Linked DNA regions of Macaca fascicularis. The protein of the gene in region 2 purifies or fractionates together with the protein of the main gene of each other region. This does not show direct contact. Links are inferred from orthologs where the notes say so. Each region holds a gene or a part of one and is shown on either strand. Other genes may lie near its edges. The genes, in order: DDX6 and LSM14A.

Region 1 (11,294 bases), on a different chromosome or scaffold from region 2:
GAAAGTCTAAATCTGGGACACTATAATAAGTTCTCTTTTTGTAAAGAGATTTGTCCATTTGAGTTTTCATAATGTCCTGTGAGTCTTGTGATGATTCAACTTTTAGTTTTTTTGATTTTTTTAGTAGAGATGGGGTCTTGTTACGTTGCCCAGGCTGGTCTCAAACTCCTGAGCTCAAATGATCCTCCCGTCTCAGCCTCCAAAACTGCTGGGATTCCAGGTGTGAGTTACTCACTGTGCTACCCAGCCCAATTTTTTAATACATCTCGGTGTCTAGATTATAAGGGCAGTGTTTCCTTTTCTTTTCTTTTCTTTTTTTTCTTTTTTTTTTTTTTTTTTTTTTTTGAGTTTTGCTCTTGTTGCCCAGACTGGAGTGCAATGGTGCGATCTCGGCTCACTGCAACCTCTGCCTCCTGGGTTCACGATTCTCCTGCCTCACCTCCCTAGTAGCTGGGATTACAGGCATGTACCATCACGCCTGGCTGATTTTGTAGTTTTAGTGGAGATAGGGTCAGGCTGTTCTCAAACTCCAGACCTCAGGTGATCCACCCACCTTGGGTGGATCCCAGCACTCCCAAAGTGCTGGCATTATAGGTGTGAGCCACCGCATCTGGCCGCCTTTTTTTTTTTTTGAAGCTGAGTCTCATTCTGTCGCCCAGGCTGGAGTGCAGTGGCGTGATCTTTGCTCACTGCAACCTCCGCCTCCAGGGTTCAAGTGATTCTCCTGCTTCAGCCTCCTGAGTAGGTGGTATTACAGCTGCGTGCCACCAAGCCTGGATAATTTTTGTATTTTTAGTAGAGGTGGGGTTTCACCGTGTTGGTCAGGCTGCTCTCAAACTCCTCGTGATCTGTCCACCTTGGCCTCCCAGAGTGCTGGGATTACAGGCTTGAGCCACTGCATCATAAGGGGCAGTATTTCTGTAGCTTCTTGAATTTTGTAAATATAATGTATAGTATGTTCTCCCACCTCACCCCATATTTTCTCATATGTTCCTTGATGTTGTTTCAGCAATGGTGATTGTTCCCACTAGAGAACTTGCTCTACAGGTCAGTCAAATTTGCATCCAGGTCAGCAAACACATGGGAGGGGCCAAAGTGATGGCAACCACAGGAGGAACCAATTTACGAGATGACATAATGAGGCTTGATGATACAGGTAAGAAATGATTACTAAAAGGTAGTGTAGCTCTCTGTAATTTTAGTCTCAAGTGTTTCAGTAAATTATTAAAAATTATTTTTAAGAATTAAGGAACAGAAATCCTGCAGTAAAAAAAGGAAATGACCATTGCATTCAAGAGAAAAAAACAGATTGACGGTAATTGAAAGCAATATTTGACTTTATTACTAATTCTAAAACAGCAAGTTTATAGTAATTTTACCTGTTTAATTGGTAAAGCTAAAAGTAGTAGTAGACATTAATGTGAGTTTGTGGAGAAATAGGCTATGTTGTAAACGTGGGGGTGTCAACTTATCTCTATCATGAGCAATTTGGCAGTCTTATTTTAAAATTATAAATTATATTTTTAAGAATCTTTCCTGAAGAAAAAAGTTGGGTAAATGTAGGGCTGTATGTACAAAGTTGTTTACTATGGGGTGGTTTGTCGTGCCAAAAAATTGGACCAACTTAGAAGGAGATTGGCTAAATAAATACATTATAGTCTGAATAGTATTCTACATAGTCATTAAGGAGTGAAGTTGATCTGTATTCATTTTCATTAAGATTTTCATGATACATTGCTGAGTGGAAAAAGGTAACAAAACAGCAAGAATGAGATCACTCATAAAATTATATCTAAAATTTTAGTTAGAATACTATATATAATTATGTGATATATTCTTTGTATTGCATAGGTTTTTTAAAAATTGTTATCTTGTTTGATCCTTTTAACAATACTCGGTTCACTGTTCCAGATTAGAGGCATTGCTTTTATGTCAGAAGTCTGGTGTGCCTTCTGTTATTAATTGGGAATTACCCTAAGACAAGAAAGTATGCCTCCTGTTGGAAGCAGGTGATTTGGGAAGCTGTACCCCACCCAGTGTAGAGGTGAAAAGTATTTTTTAAGCATCCTGCGGTGAAATGGAAGACTTTATCCTAAAACACATCTTTGGACCTTTTTGTGTTATTCCCACCTCTATAACACAATGTGTTTCTTTTCTTTTTTTTTTTTTTTTTTTTTTTTTTTTTTTTTTTTTTTTTTTTTTTCTGAGACGGAGTCTCGCTCTGTCACCCAGGCTGGAGTGCAGTGGCCGGATCTCAGCTCACTGCAAGCTCCGCCTCCCGGGTTCACGCCATTCTCCTGCCTCAGCCTCCCGAGTAGCTGGGACTACAGGCGCCTGCCACCTCGCCCGGCTAAGTTTTTGTATTTTTAGTAGAGACGGGGTTTCACTGTGTTACCCAGGATGGTCTCGATCTCCTGACCTCGTGATCCGCCCGTCTCGGCCTCCCAAAGTGCTGGGATTACAGGCTTGAGCCACCGCGCCCGGCCGTGTTTCTTTTCTTTCTTTTTTTTTTTTTTAATTTGAGGCACAGTCTTACTCTGTTGCCCAGGCTGGAATGCAGTGGTGTGGTCTCGGCTCACTGCAACCTCTGCCTCCTGGGTTCAAGCGATTCTCCTACCTCAGCCTCCTGAGTAGCTGGGATTACAGGCTCCCACCACCACACCCAGCTAATTTTTGTACTTTTAGTAGAGACAGGGTTTCACCATGTTGACCAGGCTGGTCTCGAACTCCTGACCTCATGTGATCCACCCACCTGGGCCTCCCAAAGTGCTGGAATTACATGGATGAGCCACGGTGCCCGGCCTAGTGTTTCTGATAAAAGATAGTCATGTGCTGCATAACAATGTTTTGATCAGTGACAGACCGCATGTATGTCGGTGTTCCCATAAGATTATAATGGAGCTATACAGTGGAGTAGGCTGTACCATCGCATAGCAATGCATTTCTCAGAATTATCATTAAGCAACTGAGGACTGTAATATGATAAACCTTTACAATATCCTTTTTGCCCAAATTAAAATTAATGAGAATATATGTTTTCTAAATCTTGCATAGTGCACGTGGTGATTGCTACCCCTGGGAGAATCCTGGATCTTATTAAGAAGGGAGTAGCAAAGGTTGATCATGTCCAGATGATAGTGTTGGATGAGGTAATATCTCTTCATTTGGCATTATACTATTCTGTACTTTTCTGTGCTTTGCTTATAACTGCCAGTGAATGAAGCAAAAGCTGCTTGTGTTTATGATCTAGTAAACACATAAGCGATCAGTTTAAATTAATTTGCTTATAAAATGTGTTTTACCTGTCAGCGGGAGTAGATTATAGGCATTCATTGGAATTCTCCTTTTTGTCTTTTTCTTAGAGATAGCAGAGATTAGGTTTTATTTTCATTTTTTAGAAGAGGAGTGAATAACCGCAAAGCCAAATTTATTCTACATCTCTTTCTACTCGGCGATTAATTTTTTTTTTTTTTTTTTTTTTTTTTGAGACGGAGTCTCGCTCTGTTGCCCAGGCTGGAGTCCAGTGGCCGGATCTCAGCTCACTGCAAGCTCCGCCTCCCGGATTTATGCCCATTCTCCTGCCTCAGCCTCCCGAGTAGCTGGGACTACAGGCACCCGCCACCTCGCCCAGCTAGTTTTTTGTATTTTTTAGTAGAGACGGGGTTTCACCATATTAGCCAGAATGGTCTCCATCTCCTGACCTCGTGATCCGCCTGTCTCAGCCTCCCAAAGTGCTGGGATTACAGGCCTGAGCCACCGTGCCCAGCCTCGGCGATTAATTTTTAAAAGCATATAATATATATTGTCTCCTTTTGTGCATACTACTTTGTAGTGTTTGGTTATTAATCTCTGTTAGACATATTATCTCACCATGTTATAAATGCCTTTTAAAAACTTATTAAAATCTGTAGTCCTGGGATCTAGCCATGTTTTGTACATATATAGATGGTCCCTGACTTACGATGGTTCACTTTATGGTTTTTCAGTGGAAGTGATAAGCTTTTATTAGAAACCGTACTTTGAATTCTTAAGATTAATTTTTTTCCTGGTTAGTAATATGCTATATGATATTCCCATGATGCTGGGCATCAGCAGCAAACTGCAGCTCCCAGTCAGCCACATGATCATTGAGGGTAGACAGCTGATACTGTACAGTATACGGTGTTGTCAAGTGATTTTGCCCAACTATAAGCTAAGTGGAGCATGTTTCAAGGAGGCTAGGCTAAGTGATGATGTTCAGTAGGTTTGGGTAGTATTTTCAACTTAGGATGAATTTATCAGAACATAATCCCATTGTAAGTCAAGGAGGATCTGTAGTGTATCAGTGTTAATGTTTTGACATGAGGTTATTTTCACATTTGGTTTGTGTTTTATTATTATTACTATTTTTTTGAGACAGACTCACTCTGTTACCCAGACTGGAGTGCAGTGGCGTGATCTCGGCTCACTACAATCTCTGCCTCCCGGCTTCAAGTGATCCTCATGCCTCAGCCTCCTGAGTAGCTGAGATTACAGATGTGTACTACCCACACTTGGCTAATTTTTGTATTTTTAGTAGAGGCAGGTTTTCGCCGTGTTGGCCAGGCTAGTCTTGAACTCCTGACCTCAGGTGATCCTCCCGCCTCGGCCTCTCAAAGTGCTGGGATTGCAGGTGTGAGCCACCACACCCGGCCTGGTTTGTGTTTTAGGTAACATTTAATTCAAATCAGGCTTTTATCTTTAAGTAATGAGAGAAAACATTTATTAGTCACTGGGTACCAACACTAAGTGCTTTACTTTTTTTTTTTTTTTTTTTCATTTAATCTTTACAAGAAACCTATAAGGTAGGTGTCCTGTCAAGTAGTTACTATAGTATGTAGACATCCAGATTTTAATTTGCTTATAAAATATGTTTTATACTTCAGATGCAGTAGTTAGGCATTCGTAGGAATTCAGCTTTTGTCTTTTTCTTACACTTGCCAGAGTTTAGGTTTAATTTTTAAGAAGAGGAGTGGCTGGATAACTTGAAAGCCGAGTTTTTTCTTTTTTGTTGTTTTGGTTTGGTTTGGTTTGGTTTTTTTTTGAGACGGAGTCTCTTTGCCCAGGTTGGAGTGCAGTGGCACAACCTCAGCTCACCGCAACCGCAACCTCAACCTTGTTCAAGCGATTCTCCTGCCTCAGCCTCTCGAGTAGCTCGGATTACAGGCATGTGCCACCATGCCCGGCTAATTTTATATTTTTAGTAGAGACAGGGTTTCTCCATGTTGGTCAGGCTGGTTTTGAACTCCTGACCTCAATGCTTTGCCCGCCTCAGCCTCCCAGTGTGCTGGGATTACAGGTGTGAGCCACCACACCTGACCTTAGCCAAGTTTTTTCTAAATCCCTGTAAAGTAGTTACTACATGATGTAAACATCCAAATTTTAGTTTTACAGTTTTACAGTTGTGGAAACTGAAGTACAGAGTAGTTCTGTAACATTCCCACACAGCTAAGAAATGAAGGAGGCAAGATTTCAACCTGGCAGTTTAGCTCCAGAATCTGTACTTTTTTTTGAGACAGAGTCTTGCTTTGTTGCCCAGGCTGAAGTGCAGTGGTGTGATCTCGGCTCACTGCAACCTCCACTTCCCAGGTTCAAGCAATTATTCTGCCCCAGCCTCCCAAGTAGCTGGGATTACAGGTGCAATCCACCACACCCTGCTAATTTTTGTATATTTAGTAGAGATGGGGTTTCACCATGTTTGTCAGGCTGGTCTCGAACTCTTGACCTCGTGATCCTCCTGCCTCGGCCTCCCAAAGTGCTGGGATTACAGGCGTGAGCCACCGTGCACAGACAGAACCTGTACTTTCAAACACATATACAATACTACCTCTTTAATGAGAATCATCACATTAAAATTCTGTTGAGCTGGGCTTGGTGGTATGTGCCTGTAGTCCCAGCTTCTCAGTAGGTTGGTAGGCTGAGGCAAGATGATCACTTGAGCCCAGGAGGTTCAGGCTGCATACAGTAAGCTATGATTATGCCACTGCATCCCATCCTGGGTGACAGAGTGAAATGCTGTCTCTAAAAATAAATTAATTAATTAAATTCTGTTATAGAAGGGGGGAGGTTTATCTGTGTAGTGTAGAATTTTTTTTTCCCCTAGAAGATGGGGATCATAGATTCTGCCCCCTTATGCATATTTGACTCTGCAGTGTTGGAGAGAATTTATTGTTTTCCACCAGGAACATTTCATGGATGCTTTTGTTGGATGATGCCTTATTCTTTGACCATGTATTAACCAAAGACCTTAGACATTATTTTATTGTTTTTAAAATTGTCTTTTCTTTCTACTGCAGGCAGATAAGTTGCTGTCACAGGATTTTGTGCAGATAATGGAGGATATTATTCTCACGCTACCTAAAAACAGGCAGATTTTACTATATTCCGCTACTTTCCCTCTTAGTGTACAGAAGTTCATGGTGAGTATAAATCTGTACTTGGAATCAGTGCCATCCTATGATCTATGAGTATGCTTTTATTCATAATTACATCTTCCTATCTGTGAAAATACTTTATACTAATTATTTCAAGCCTTTGGCTCTTTCTTCAGTTGATCAATTAAAGATTTGTTTTACATAAATTAACTGACTTTTTAAGAAGGTTGTAATAGTAATTAATTAAATTCCTCATTTTTCTCTTAGTTTTTGGTGTCATGATGACATAGCCATTGGTGCTAGCTGAATTGATTCCAGTATTATTCTATATACAAAATAGAGTTTGAGTATCGTAAACTGAAATCCAAAATACTGCAGAATTTGAAACCTTTTGAGCCACAAACATGATGCTAAAAGGAAATGTTCTTTTGATTTTGAATTTTCAAATTAAGAATGCTCAGTCACTAAGTGTAATGCGCATATTCCAAAATTAGAAAAAATTTAAAACCTGAAACGCTTTTGTTCCTGAGCATTTTGGATAAGGAATACTTAACCTGTAGTAACTTAGCTGCATTTTTGAGATCTTATATCTTAATTTATTTCTAACGTGTCTTGCGTGGTGACTCAGGCCTGTAATCCCAGCACTTTGGGGGGCCAAGGTGGGCAGATCACAAGGTCAGGAGTTCGAGACCAGCATGGGCAACATGGTGAAACCCCCGTCTCTACTAAAAATACAAAAATAAGTCTGTTGTGGCAGCGTGTGCCTGTAATCCCAACTACTCGGGAGGCTGAGGCAGGAGAATCACTTGAACCCAGGAGGTGGAGGTTGCAGTGAGTGGAGATGGTGCCACTACACTCCAGCCTAGGTGATAGCAAGACTCCATCTCAGGGCAGCGGGGGGAAAATTCTGTAATGACAGATCATATATTTTGTTTTGAAGAGAGTTGCATCCCTTATAGCAAGAGTTGATTAGACAGAAACCTATAGGGTGGGTATATTTTGAATTTGAGATGAACTCTGCTTTCATTTAAGAAGAACCATCTTTTTTTTTCTCCCCTCCCAGAATTCCCATTTGCAGAAACCCTATGAGATTAACCTGATGGAGGAACTAACTCTGAAGGGAGTAACCCAGTACTACGCATATGTAACTGAGCGCCAAAAAGTACACTGCCTCAACACACTTTTCTCCAGGGTAAGAAGTAGGCTTCTGCTGTTGAATATTATCTCTCGAGTCCCAGTAAAACAGATTATTTCATCAGTTTTCCTACCATCTTCACTGTATAAAAGTTCATAGTGTTTCTGGCTTGGCGTGGTAGCTCATGCCTGTAATCCCAGCATTTTGGGAGGCTGAGGCAGGCGGATCACGAGGTCAGGAGTTCGAGACCAGCCTGGCCAACATGGAGAAACCCCGTCTCTACTACAAAAAAACAAAAAAACTAGCTGGGCGTGGTGGTGCGTGCCCATAATCCCAGCTACTTGGGAGGCTGAGGCAGGAGAATTGCTTGAACCCAGGAGGCAGAAGTTGCAGTGAGCCAAGATCACGCCATTGCACTCCAGCTCTGGGCGACAGAGCAAGACTCCATCTCGGGAAGGAAAAAAAAAGTTTTTAAAAAATTCATAGTGTTTCCTAAAAGGCAGTTTTAATTGTTGACCTAAAGTTGATACTAAATGATTAACAAGTCACAGATACACTTTTGAATAGTTTCTGAAATACTTAGACCTTTACTAGGGTTAATACTCATTATTCACATATTCTGTATTTGTGAGTTTGCTTAGTCACTAGAATTTATTTGTAACTCCAGAATTAATACTCAAGGCAGTTTAGCAGTCATTTGTGGACGTGTACAGTGTGGCAAAGAGTTTAAGTCACCTGACACGCACATACCCAGCTGAGGTTGAAGAAGACAATGCTCTGTCCTCTTGTTTAGCTCTCATACTGTGAACAAGTATCCTTTTCACTGTGCCATATTTTTCAAATTTTTGTTGCTGATTTCACGGTTTTAATTGACCCCTACTCATGGTGCTGAAGTGCTGCCCAGTGCTAGTGGCATTGGTTGTGAGTATATTAAAGATGTTCTTGGCTGGGCACGGTGGCTCACACCTGTAATCCCAGCACTTTGGAAAGCTGAGGTGGGCAGACACCTGAGGTCAGGAGTTCGAGACCAGCCTGACCAACATGCTGAAACCCCGTCTCTACTGAAAATACAAAAATTAGCCAGGCATGGTGGTGGGTGCCTGTAATCCCAGCTCCTCAGGAGGCTGAGGCTGGAGAATCCCTTGAACCCAGGAGGTGGAGGTTGCAGTGAGCTAAGATTGTACCATTGCACTCCAGCCTGGGCAACAAGAGTGAAACTCCATTTCTCTCTCTCTCTCTCTCTCTCTCTCTCTCTCTCTCTCTCTCTCTCTCTCACACACACACACACACACACACACACACACACACACACACGTATTCTTAAATGGAAAAACAAAACATAACTACTTGGAATCAGATAATCAATTGTATTACTCTTGTTGACAGTTATGTGGCCCTTAAGAAATATACTCTAATACAATAAATCTTAGATATTATTATATTCCATCTATTAAAGTACTTAGAATTTACCATCTCTCTCATATCATAAGATTCTAAATTTTAGACCATGTTAATGTTTCTTGTTTGCTGGTTAGTGTTTTCAAGATTTGGCAAGCCAAATGAAGGTTTTAATTTTTCTCATACTTATTTTTTCTGTGCTCAGCTTCAGATAAACCAGTCGATCATTTTCTGTAACTCCTCTCAGCGAGTTGAATTACTAGCCAAGAAGATTTCTCAACTGGGTTATTCTTGCTTCTATATTCATGCTAAAATGAGGCAGGTGAGTATAAAACTAGAACTTGCACAAATTTAACAAGAAATCTCTGATTTTATTTTGTTTTAATGTTCTTTTAAATGTCCTGAGTTTAAGAATAAACTGTTCCTTAGTAGCCAAAGGACCTTTCATTTTGACCTACCTAAGGTTCATTTTCTAGCAATAAAATAGAGATAATAGTACATATTCATAACTTACAAGGTAGTTAGGAAAATTAAGGTAAATGTTTAAATTTGTAAGCTGTCAGGCATAATACAAATGTAAAATTGTATTCTTCCTTTCATTCCCATGTTTAATTCTCTGTTTAATCCAGTAACCACTAGCCACATGTGGCCATTTAAATCAGTTAAAATTAAAATAAGGCCGGGCGTGGTGGCTCAAGCCTGTAATCCCAGCACTTTGGGAGGCCGAGACGGGCGGATCACGAGGTCAGAAGATCGAGACCATCCTGGCTAACACAATGAAACCCCGTCTCTACTAAAAATACAAAAAAATTAGCCGGGCGAGGTGGTGGGCGCCTGTAGTCCCAGCTACTCGGGAGGCTGAGGCAGGAGAATGGCGTAAACCCGGGAGGCGGAGCTTGCAGTGAGCCGAGATAGCGCCACTGCACTCCAGCCTGGGCGACAGAGCGAGACTCTGTCTCAAAAAAAAAAAAAAAAAAATTAAAATAAAAAGTCAGTTTCTCAATCACAGCCACGTTTCAAGTGCTCAGTTAGGCACCTGTTGCTGCTGGATACTGTATTGGAAGTGGAAGTACAGACACAAACATTTCCTTTATTACAGAAATTTCTACTGGACAGCATTGCTCTGGATTTTTAAATATGGCCCCTCAGCTAGCTGATTTTTCTTTTTTCTTTACTGTTTGCCTTTAGAGAAAGATGCAATGTCTAAATTTCAGAATTTGATTTAGCAAAAAATAATTTAAAACTTAACAAAATGACTTTTTGTTAACTACATTATGAAATTTCGTAAGTAAACAGTTTCTGTAGATGAAGAGATCAATAACTTAACTCATATTTGGTTTTGAAAGCAGCTTAATGTCATGGATCACTTATAAACAGGTTTTGGGTAGAACCGATCGACTAGGAGAAATAATCATGGGAAATTTGGGGCTGTATATGAGTGCTAATCAAATGGAATAAATTGCTTTCTCCTAGGAACATCGAAATCGTGTATTTCATGATTTCCGAAATGGCTTATGCCGCAATCTTGTTTGCACTGGTAAGTATTTTTGTATTTCCTTTACCCAGTGTTTTTCTCCCAAGTTCTTTTTTGCTTTCTTTGTTCATACTGCACGGTGCACCCTGTGACATAGTCCAGCACACCCTACCAATACTTCTAGGATTTCTTTTTTTTTTTTTTTTTGGTGGGGGGGGTGGATGGAGTTTGTGTCACCCAGACTGGAGTGCAGTGGCATAATCTCAGCTCACTGAAACTTCCACCACCTGGGTTCAAGTGATTCTCCTGCCTCAGCCTCCCAAGTAGCTGGGATTGTGGGCACCCGCTGCCACACTCAGCTAATTTTTGGTAGAGATGGGGGTTTCACCATGTTGGCCAGGCTGGTCTTGAACTCCTGACCTCAGGTGATCCGCCTGCCTCGGCCTCCCAAAGTGCTGGGATTACAGGTGTGAGCCACCGCGTCCAACAGTTGGGCTTTTAAAAATCATTACTTGCTTGCAAGGTTTCTTCAGATAAGTTCTTGAAGGACCAATACTGAAGGGCATATATAAAATACCACCCCTTTGGGGGAGTGTGGTTTAATTGGAGAGATAAAAAGGTAAACATTAGGAGTCTAAGGAAGCGCCCACATACTTTTCCTATGAAGTGCCAAATAGTAAATTTTTTAGAGTTTGCACATTAATTGGTCTTTATTACAGAGTTTTGCTATTGTAGCTCAGAAGTAGCCTAGACAATACATAAACAAATGGGCATGGCTATATTGTAGTAAAACTGTTTACAAAATCATTCACTGGACTAGATCCACAAGGCAGTAAAGGTGACTTGCAAATGGGAAGTATGTGTATAGTAAGTAATCCCAAGTGTTCGTAGCAGA
Region 2 (11,294 bases):
GATCACTCGATGTCAGAAGTTTGAGACCAGCCTGGACAACAGGGGAAAACCCTGTCTCTACAAAAAATACAAAAAAAAAAAAAAAAAAAAAAAAAAAAAAAAAAAAAAGAAATCTAGCTGGGAGTGGTGGTGCACGCCTATAATCTCAGATACTTGGGAGGTTGAGGTGGGAGGATGGCTTGGGCCTGGGAGGCAGAGGTTGTAGTGAGTCGGGATCGTGCCACTACACTCCAGCCTGGGTGTCAGCCAGATATTATCTCCAAAAAAAAGAAAACAAACAAAAAAAAACCCAAAAACCAAAAACACCAATAATACAAATCAAAGTCAAGTTTTCTAAATAGTTCTATTTGTTGTTAGAATATATCCTACTAAGTGCGTAAAAGTCATCTGAATTATTTTTTCTTCTGTGTGATTATCAATTTAATATGTAATAGCATCTGTGGTATCTCTGTTCATATTCATTCAGTTTTATCTATTTTTTTTTAGACGGAGTTTCGCTGTTGTGGCCCAGACTGGAGTGCAATGGCACGATCTCAGCTCATTGCAACCTCTGCCTCCTGGGTTTCAAGCAATTCTCCTACCTCAGCCTCCCGAGTAGCTGGGATTACAGGCATGCACCACCACGTCCAGCTAATTCTGTATTTTTAGTAGAGGTGCGGTTTCTCCATGTTGGCCAGGCTGGTCTCGAAATCCCTACTTCAGGTGATCTATCCCGCCTTAGTCTCCCAAAGTGCTGGCATTACAGGCGTGAGCCACCGCGCCCAGCTCATTCAGTTTTAGTTTGCTTTTTTTGCCGTTCTTTTTTATTTTGTGAATAAGTAAAACATTTAAATGCTTAAGTCACACCTGTATAAAAAGTATATTCATTGGAAGGAATTTAATAATATTAATAAAACTTGTTAGCATATTAATGAGTGTCAAGATACACCTGAAACTAAATTTGTGGTGCAGTGAAACAGTAAACTGATAATATAATTATTTCAAAGAAATTTTAAAAGATTAGGGGCAAAAGCTTGAGATTTAAAGTTGCTTTTTTTTTTTAAAGCTGTTCTTTACCGTGGGAATAAAGGTGTACTTAAACACTAAAATGCACAGCTATAAAAACAAAACAACACTGAGCTAATCTGATTACATCCAGCTTTTGCACTCAATAGCCCTTGACCCTCCAGCCGTAAGTAAGCCTGTCATTCGCTCAGCCCTGCTATACATTCTCATTAGTTTTGTTTCAAACCCAGTGTTACAGAAACAAAACACCAAGCCCTCAATCATGCTATGTGTATCTTTATGTGTGCATGTCTTATGTATGTTTAAAATAAACGTTTTAGGCCAGGCTTGGTGGCACATGCCTGTAATCCCAGCACTTTGGGAGGCTGAAGTGGGTGGATCACTTGAGGTCAGGAGTTCGAGACCAGCTTGGCCAACATGGTGAAACCCCATCTCTACTAAAAATACAAAAAAATTAGCCGGGAGTGGTGGTGCACACCGGTAATCCCAGCTACTCAGGAGGCTGAGGCAGGAGCACTGCTTAAACCTGGGAGATGGAGGTTGCAGTTAGTGGAGATCATGCCACTGTACTCCAGCCTGGGCAACAGAGTGAGACTCTGCCTCAAAAAAAAAAAAAAGAAAAAAAAAATTGATTAATTAAAATCCAGGCCAGGCACAGGGGCTCACCTGAGGTCAGGAGTTCAAGACCAGCCTGGTCAACATGGTGAAACCCCACCTCTACTGAAAATACAAAAATTAGCTAGGTGTGGTGATACATACTGTAATCCCAGCTACTTGTGAGGCTAAGGCACGAGAATTGCTTAAACCCAGGAGGCGGAGGTTATAGTGAGCCAAGATAGTGCCACTGGACTTCAGCCTGAGTGACAGAGTGAGACTTTGTCTTAAAAAAAAAAAAAAAAAAAAAAAAAAATCCAATTACCAATAAGATTTGGTAGATACTGGATATACCCAGGTGTAAAAAAAATGTTACCTCGTGAAAACTGACTTTTAAAAACCCACTAATATCATTAAGAATATTAAATAAAGGCTTTAAGATATCATCAAAATATGTTCTGAATGCCATAAAACAAAGTTACAAAAGGAAACATCAAACAACATTTCTAAAAGTTTGTGTTGAGTTTCTATAAACTCAAAGAAAGGAAGAATACAAAAACAAACAAAAAAATAAAAGAAAAAGAAAACATACCAACACCAACAGCACCAAACTGCTGCCCAACTAAGGAACTTGGACTGAACTGACTGTATGTGGGCATCCTGCCGAAAGGCCCGTAAGAACCCATGGACTGGAATGAAGAAGTCGATGAGCCTAGTGAGGACTGAAGGAAAATCATGAGTTATCTTTCCAAGCTCTAAGCAACATGTATATAATGAAAAAAATTTCCAGATTTTTACACTTTTAAGAAAACTATTAAAACTACTAAATATAAAACGAATTACAACATGCACTTAACATTAAAATAGCCAAACGACCTTCTGATTTCAATATTTGTCTATAATGTGCCAATTATACTCAATGTAACTTACGAATACTTTTTCTACACTAAACTCCCCATTTAAGAGTTTTATAGATTGAGGAAAGAAAGTTACTTAAGTACAGTAACTTTGCTTAAAGAAAAATATGAGAAAAATCACACTTAGTAATAATGGGTTTTAGTCTGATGCTGATATAAATCTCACATGTGATTTCACTCTTATTTTCAATCATTTGAGGCCTACTATTATATTCACATGAAAGAGATGCAGAAACAAACATATCCCACATAAAACCATTTACATGTTTACTTATATTAAGTGGAGGAACATTTTATAAAAACTAACTTAAACCTAAAGCATATAAAATATATAACATATACTAATACATGTACTTCATATATTATCTTATTATAAACTGTTTCATAATATAAACATGAAGTGTATTAAAGGCTACCAGGACATACATTCACTGATGGCAGGACCTTTTCTTTGTGTTCACTACTAGTGTTAAGTACATGCCAGACACTCTGTAAATACTACGGAATGAATGAATAAGAAGATCAAGCAGAAGTTTGTGATGACTGGAAGAAGTTACTCAACACCATTTTCATATGCACTCTCTTAGTTTTTCTCCTTCTATAAAACTGATTACTCAAATAACTGGTTTCCTGGAGAATTATCGAAAGCCATATAAAAGAGACGGTAAGGTAACACCAGTGTTTGGTGTAGGGAGCTATCTCTATTAAGAAAGTGTCTCTTCCTTCTCCATTTAAAGAGATTTACATTTTCGGCCAGGCGCGGTGGCTCACGCCTGTAATCCCAGCACTTTGGGAGGCTGAGGCGGGTGGATCACGAGGTCAGGAGATCGAGACCATCCTGGCTAACACGGTGAAACCCCGTCTCTACTAAAAATATAAAAAATTAGCCGGGCGTGGTGGCAGGCGCCTGTAGTCCCAGCTACTTGGGAGGCTGAAGCAGGAGAATGGCATGAACCCGGGAGGCAGAGCTTGCAGTGAGCCGAGATCGCGCCACTGCACTGCAACCTGGGCAACAGAGCAAAACTCTATCTCAAAAAAAAAGTAAATAAATAAAATAAAGAGATTTACATTTTCTCCGATTCTTTCAGGTTTCCTTTCACCAAAATAAGACTTAACAAGGGTAGGAGTAGATGATTAAAAAGTTTAAATTGGGAGATTTAAGAGTTGACCTAAATATGTTAAAATGCATTTATGTTTGTGTTTTCTTATTATATAACATTGTGGGCCAGGCACAGTGGCTCATGCCTGTAATCCCAGCACTTTGGGAGGCTGAGGTGGGCGGATCACCTGAGGTCAGGAGTTTGAGACCAGGCTGGCCAACATGGTGAAACCTCATCTCTACTAAAAATACAAGAATTAGCCGGGCGTGGTGGTGTGTGCCTATAGTCCCAGCTACTCAGGAGGCTGAGGCAGAAGAATCGCTTGAACCAGGGAGGCGGAGGTTGCAGTAAGCCGAGTTCGCGCCACTGTACTCCAATGACTGTTTCAAAAAAAAAAGGAAGAAAAAAAACCCCCCAACATTGCATATCGTAACATAAGCAGAACAATGTGATTTCGCTTTTTGTTCCCCATTAAGCCTAATAATCTTACCTAAGAGTACCTGTTATTGCCCTGGTTTGCAATATAAACCCTATCTCAATAGCATGGTAGCACGGATTCTAGATTCTAAAGCAGGCTGCCTGGATCTGTTCAAATAGTGACTCTACCTGAATTTCTTCACTTGTTAAAAGTGAGAATAATTATGGCACCAACCTCAGAGGGTGTCTTATATGTACACCACTTCCACAGCGTAGCCTTCAAGGTTAGCTACCGCAATTGTTGTTGACATTAGAAAATATTTCATAACAAATTCTTCAGCTGTTTCTTATCTTAGTTCTAATTTATGATTAGAGAAAAACCTAGATGAGAACATTATCCAGTAATTTCAGGTATCCAGGTAACTTGAAAATGATAAGCTACATGAACATTCAACTGGAAAGAAAAAAGCCAAGGCTATCCCTGTGTGGAGTTTACCTGTACTCCAAGACAAATTTACCATCAGTTACCTGAACGATAGCTGGGTCTTGAGGCAAAGAACACTGTGGTTTTGGTGGCTCACAAACAGTAAGGTCTTTAATGTCACTCCCACGGAATATAATGTATTCAAAGACTTCATCTCGAGGTGGTATTGGACGATCTGTCGGTCTGTCTTCTGTACCAAAGGATCGAACTGGCAAGAAAACAAAGGATATGAGATGTGTGACTACTCATTACATTCAGGTAGTACCCCAGATTCTAAGTGTTGTATTTCAAGTACTAAGCAGTAGTTCTGAAATGTCTGAGAAAGTATTCATTAATCTATAGCTAAATAATTTTTTTAAAAGAGGAAAATAGAGTGGGTTTTGCCTGAAGTTAAATATACGCAATATAAAAGACTATCAGTATTACAAGGTTGTGCTCCTCTTATATTTTTATTTATTTGTATCTTTAGTGGTTGTAGTGAGGTGTTAAAATGTCCTTTATTTATTTATTTATTTATTGATGAGCCTGGGTCTCTGTATCCCAGGCTGGAGTGCAGTGGTGTGGTCACGGCTTCCTGCAGCCTCCGTTTCCCGGGCTCAGGCAATCCTTCCATCTCAACATCCCGTGTAGCTAGGACCACAGGTATGTGCCACTAAGCCCAGCTAATTTTTTTTATTTTTTAGTAGAGATGAGGTTTTGCTATTTTGCACAGGCTGGTCTTGAACTCCTGGCCTCAAGAGATCTTCCTGCTTCAGTCTCTCAAAGTGCTGGGATTACAGGCCTGTGCCATTGTGCCTGGCTCACTGTTAATTTATTTACCTTGCTGAGCAGTAAGTCCTCTAGAAGCCAAGCCGAGTAGCTGCCAGCTATTCAGGCCCATGGGACAGCCTGAAATACCCTAGTTACCTAAAATATCTACCATATAATTAAATCTGATTATTTTAACAATGAAGATAGCATTACTCAAAGTTAAACCAGGGACCACCTGCAACACAGTAAGCTGGCTACAAATAAAGATTTCTACTGAATCTTTTTGCTGGGGACATGGTCCAAAAATCTGCATTTTAAGCCAATTTCTGGCTAGGCACAGTGGCTCACGCCTATAATCCCAGCACTCTGGGAGGTCAAGGTGGGAGGACTGCTTGAGCCCAGGAGTTCAAGACCAGCCCTAGCAACATAGTGATGTCCTGTCTCTACAAAAAATAAAAAAACAAATTAAAAAAATTAGCCAGGTGTGGTAGTGTACGCCTGTAGTCCCAGCTATAAGGAGGCTGAGGTATGAGGGGATCTCTTGAGTCTGGGAGATTGAGGCTGCACTGAACCGTGGCTGTGCTCCTGCACTCCAGCCTAGGTGACAGAACAAGACCCTATTTCAAAATAAATAAATAAAATAACCAAATCCCAAGTTTCTTATAAATACAAAAGTTTCAGGTTCATTGTCCTGGGAGATTTCTGAAAATGTCTGCATCCATAGAGAAGTTCCAAATAGAGAATATGAAACATCATATACTATTCATTTTAAAGAGTATCCTAAAGGAAGTAATAAACCCCTTAACATTTTTTTTTTTTTTTTTTGAGACGGAGTCTTGCTTTGTCACCCAGGCTGGAGTGCAGTGGCACGACCTCCACTCACTGCAAGCTCCACTTCCCGGGTTCACACCATTCTCCTGCCTCAGCCTCCTGTGTAGCTGGGACTACAGGCGCCCGCCACCACGCCTGGCTCATTTTTTTAAACGTATTTTTAGTAGAGACGGGGTTTCACCGTGTTAGCCAGGACGGTCTCGATCTCCTGACCTCGTGATCCGCCCATCTCGGCCTCCCAAAGTGCTGGGATTACAGGCGTGAGCCACCGCACCCGGTCCTTTTTTATTTTTATTTTTTGAGATGGAGTCTCACTCTATTGCCCAGGCTGGAGTGCAGTGGCGCGATCTCGGCTCACTGTAACCTCCGCCTCTTGGGTTCAAGCGACTCTCCTGCCTTAGCCTCCCGAGTAGCTGGGATTATAGGCGTGTGCCACCACACCCAGCTAATTTTTGTATTTTTTTTTTTAGCGGAGATGAGGTTTCACTATGTTGGTCAGACTGGTCTAGAACTCCTGACCTCAAGTGATCCACCGCGCCTGGCCCCCTTAACATTTTTAATGCATATGCTTTTTTTGTTGTTGTTGCAGAACTGATGCAGCGCTAGATTAAGGATGAATGTCAGGCTGGATGCAGTGGCTCATGCCTGTAATTCCAGCACTTTGGGAGGCCGAGGTGGGCAGATCACTTGAGGTCAGGAGTTTGACACCAGCCTCAACAAAATGGTGAAACCCTGTCTCTACCAAAAAATACAAAAAATAATTAGCTGGGCACGTTGGTGTGCACCTGTAGTCCTAGCTGCTCAGGAGGCTGAGGTGAGAGGATTGGCAGAACTCAAGAGGCAGAAGTTGCAGTGAGCTGAGCCGAGATGGTGCCCCTGCACTCCAGCCTGGGTGACAGAGCAACAATCTGACTTAAAATAAATAAATAATTAAAAAAGAATATTATTTCAGTGTAAATAATGTCCTACACTCTTATTCTAAAAGTTCTTTCTAGTACTTATGAGACTTTCAGGAAAGATAGTGGCACAGGTAGTTTGGCAGAAGATCCTTCCCTAAAACTAAAGGAAAAAAACAAAAAGGAAGTTAAAATATCCCTAAAATCACGAAAAGTTCTCAAACTCATACCATGAAATTTTATTAAACAGTACAATTAAGGTACAGAATGAGTTAGTTGAAACTGAAAGACCAAGCCCAGAATCCATATGTAAGTATCCCTTGCCCTCTCCTCCCCTGAGAGAAATTTTGACTAGCATCTTCAACTTGCTAAGATGGGGACAGGGACACAGGTGTGATGAGGAAAAAAATGCGGAACGCCCTACCTGAAACTCCCCTTCTCTGGTGGCCAAACAGTACTTTAGCAGGCAGGAGGATTTTATATTTTTACCTTTATCCAAAAGGAAGGGTAAGGAGGAGAAAGGACTAATTACAAATAAATCAATCTCACCCCTAACCTCAGTACCATCACAGCGAATAAAGTCTCACGCTTCCAAAGTAGCAGATGAGATCATCCTGAAGCAGAGGGGGCAAGAGTCAAAGGCCCTTCTTCTACAAAACTAGAGAAGCTCTATTAAGCTTCCTAAGGCCTAATAGAGCTTAGCCAGGTGAACTCAGAGTGAAGTAAAAGAGAATCTGCATTTCACGTTTTCGCAAGCAGCAGATACTGAAAGGACCTACTAAGGAAAAAAAAGTAGAAACATCAGGGAATCAAGATAAATTTTACAGGAAAGATGGAAAGAAGGGAAGAAAAGAGGGAAAGGAGGGAGGCAATGATGGAAGGAAAGAAAAAGGTATATCAAAATAAAGAAAAAAGGCAGGAAAGAAGAGAAGAATCAAAGAGGACACGGTCTTCATTTGCTTATTCTGTTTTTTTCCACTACCAGCGGTTTGCCCTGACAGAGAGGACACAGTCTTCAAAAGGTGGATGAAATACATTCAGTATCAGTATTTATCACAGAAAATAGAAGAAATTTTCTGAAAGGACTGCTTCGACATTCACAAGAAAAACAGCATAGACTCTTATGATCAAAACAACACTGAAAGGGTAGCATGCAGAATTAAGGAAAGAAAATTATACAAGATAAATAAAACAGCATAACTAATAAATGCATCAACAGTCAATGCAGTTAAAACCAAATCACTAGAAGACAATAATTTTGAGAAAACGTAAACGAGATGTCATGAAAAAGTAGTACAGTAATAAAAAGGTTAGAGAAAAGATGATAGTTATGAAGATCCAACAGTTAACTACTGCCCCTGAGACAGACAAAAGAATAAGAGAAAATAAAATTAAAGTTATAACAGAATAGAAATGTCTTGACATGAAGGTCTAAATTTCATTAAAAGTTTTCACTGTATTTCCAGGAAAAAAAAAAAACATCAGACCACTACAAGCCACAGAGACTTATGTTATGGTATATCAAAATAAAGAATGCAAAAAAAGTGGCATCCAAAGATAAGAAATGGACAATAAATTCATTTAAACAAAGATGTGTACATGACAATTTACTATGGTTCTAGAATAGAAATAGTTCTGGAAAAGACTAGAAAGTTACAAAGTGTAACAAACTAAGAACAGTATATCACAACATTTTAACAAAAATTGGGAGATTAAAATGAATGGAGAAAAAGGAAAACTGAACAGACAGTAGTAGTATCTAAACTTACACTTTCATCTCTCATCATGTCAAGTAGGAGTCACTTGACACATTTTTTTTTTTTTTTTTGGTTAGTTGACACTAAGCGAAGGCTTTAAAATTTTTTATTTGAAAGAATTTGTTAAATTCTACTATGGGTCTTGGAAATAACCCATAGTAGAATTTAAAACCAAGAGCATACTTTCCAAAATATGGTATGAAGAAAAACTCTATCATATGGCAAATGAAGCAAACTGAAAAAGCATGAAAACAGAAATCACAGAATAAGAATGATTTGCACACACCAAGAGTTTGAGAAACATGCTCTAATGATGGAGGCTGGCTTAATAAGATTTGGGGTTTTCAGTGCAATCAAGTTCTTGTAGTATTGTGAAGAACAAATTCCACAAGACAGATTAGAAGGGCACATATGGCTAGAAGATACTGTTACAGAACAAATGAGAAGTCTGGAAGGTTAAAACTTGAGCATTAAGAGTAGAGAGGAAGGAGGCATGACAAGCATAGAAAAGGTAAAGAGCTACCGGAACTATTCTACTACAACACATACATTAGCTCATATGCAATCAGTAAATAAGGGAATTATGTCAGTACATTCAGAAATCACATTGGTTCATTTCCAGTTTTTCCTAAAATGTTATTTAGTTTTTGCATTTGCAGGTAACAACAGTTAAATACACCTAGCCATGAGTAGTGCCATCACTTCTGGTTACCTTTACTGTTTTTAAAGGGAAAGTTATAAATTTACCGAATTATTTGTTTAAAAATTTTAACTTATCTTTAAGCACACTAGTATTTTTTATTAGGTTTACATTAGTGCTTAAATTACAAAGATGCACAGATTTCTAATGGTCTGCTCCTAATCCTAGTTTTCCCATAAACCCCATTCCTCTTAGTGCAGGAAGGCATACCTCAGATTACAGCACAAATGCCTTTGCCTGGCTGGCAAAATCTGAATTATGTTCTAATTATTATTATTTTTTTCATTCATAACACATAGTACTTTGAGAAAGAACATTTTTACTCTATTATTCATTTTGGGATTCTACAGCAACTACACATTCCAATGTAAATACCCATAGGTAATGTGACTAGAGCTTTAAGCTGAACATAGGTGCTGTATGTCATTGCATTTCATCCCGTTTCTTTCAAATACTTACTGGGCACCACCTGTCCCAGGTCCTATGCTAGATGCTAGGGAAACCAGTTCCTATTCTCAAGGAGCTCAATCTATTTGCTTACTTGGATGTGATGTCACTGAATTGGATTTGAAGGTCCACTAAACACTCAATACCACTTGCAATGCCTCTAATAAGTACTACTATTGGTTTCTCAACATCCTAATCTCTGAAGCTAACACAGCATTAGGCTTCAGATTAAGCCATACTACTACTATTAAGTCAAAATGTAGCTGAATAGATACTGATCTGATTCTGGGATATCTGGGGGATTATCATGAATTAATGAAAATAATAATTCAGCAGGCTTAGAATATTTAAGTAATATTAGGCAGGCATTATATTTATGTCCTCACCCTCAGGGAACTTATAGTCTGGCAAGTGTGCTAAGCACTACACTGGAAAGAAAGCACACAATATAGTTTGCTAGGGCTGCCAAAACAAAGTGCCAGAGATTATATTATGTCCACACAGAAACTTGTATACAAATGTTTATATCAGCATTATTCATAACAGCCAAATGGTAGAAACAACCCAAATACCCATCAACAAATGAAAAGACAAATTACGTTCTCTATATATCTTATATGTATGTTATATATATTTTAAAATACATGTAATGAAATATTATTCAGCCATAAAAAACCCACAATGCTGATACTTGTTACATCAAGAGTGAAGCGTGAAAGCATTATGCTGAGTAAAAGAAGCTAGATACAAAACGTCACACAGTGTATGATTCCTTTTACATAATATACCCTAAATAGGAAAAGCCATGAAGACAGAAAGCAGGTTAGTGGTTAACAGGGTATGGGGGAAATAAGGAGGGATTACTTAATGCCTAGGGATATTTTATTTTAGTAGGATTATGAAAAGTTTTGAAACCAAGGAGAGGTGGTAGTTGCACAACACTGTGACTACACTAAGTGCCACTGAATTGTACACTTTATAATGGTTAATTGCATGTTATGTGAATTTCAACTTCAAACATACATGAGCACGCACACCTACAAATACAGCCTACAAGAGAATACAGAAAATGACAAAAGTAGTTGGGGAGAATGGGGAAACTAGGGGCGGTTGTCCTCTACATTTTAAACTTCATCATGTTGCTACATTGCTTTAATAATGTTTTCTTTCTTTTTTCTTTTATTGAGACAGAGTCCCTTCTCTGTCATCCAGTCCAGGCTGGAGTGCAGTGGTGCCATCTCGGCTCACTGAAACTTTTACCTCCCAGGCTCAAGTTATCCTCCCACCTCAGTCTCTTGAGTAGCTAGGACTACAGGCACACACACTACACCTGGCTAATTTTTAAATTTTTTGTAGAGATGGGGTTTCGCCATGTTGCCCAGATTGGTCTCCAATT

What was found.
Region 1: the proteins of LSM14A (region 2) and DDX6 purify together in Homo sapiens (affinity purification with mass spectrometry; 4 studies listed by BioGRID and IntAct, with this or other methods). This does not show direct contact. The link is inferred for Macaca fascicularis from reciprocal best matches to the Homo sapiens genes LSM14A and DDX6.

What each region holds. Positions count from the first base shown.
Region 1 is NC_088388.1:117,619,152-117,630,445, reverse strand, and holds part of DDX6 (probable ATP-dependent RNA helicase DDX6), read left to right. Parts: intron 1-1,009; coding exon 1,010-1,156; intron 1,157-3,054; coding exon 3,055-3,149; intron 3,150-6,314; coding exon 6,315-6,437; intron 6,438-7,455; coding exon 7,456-7,584; intron 7,585-9,130; coding exon 9,131-9,247; intron 9,248-10,398; coding exon 10,399-10,462; intron 10,463-11,294.
Region 2 is NC_088393.1:41,494,205-41,505,498, reverse strand, and holds part of LSM14A (protein LSM14 homolog A), read right to left. Parts: intron 4,726-11,294; coding exon 4,562-4,725; intron 2,322-4,561; coding exon 2,192-2,321; intron 1-2,191. UniProt on the Homo sapiens protein: Essential for formation of P-bodies, cytoplasmic structures that provide storage sites for translationally inactive mRNAs and protect them from degradation. Acts as a repressor of mRNA translation. May play a role in mitotic spindle assembly.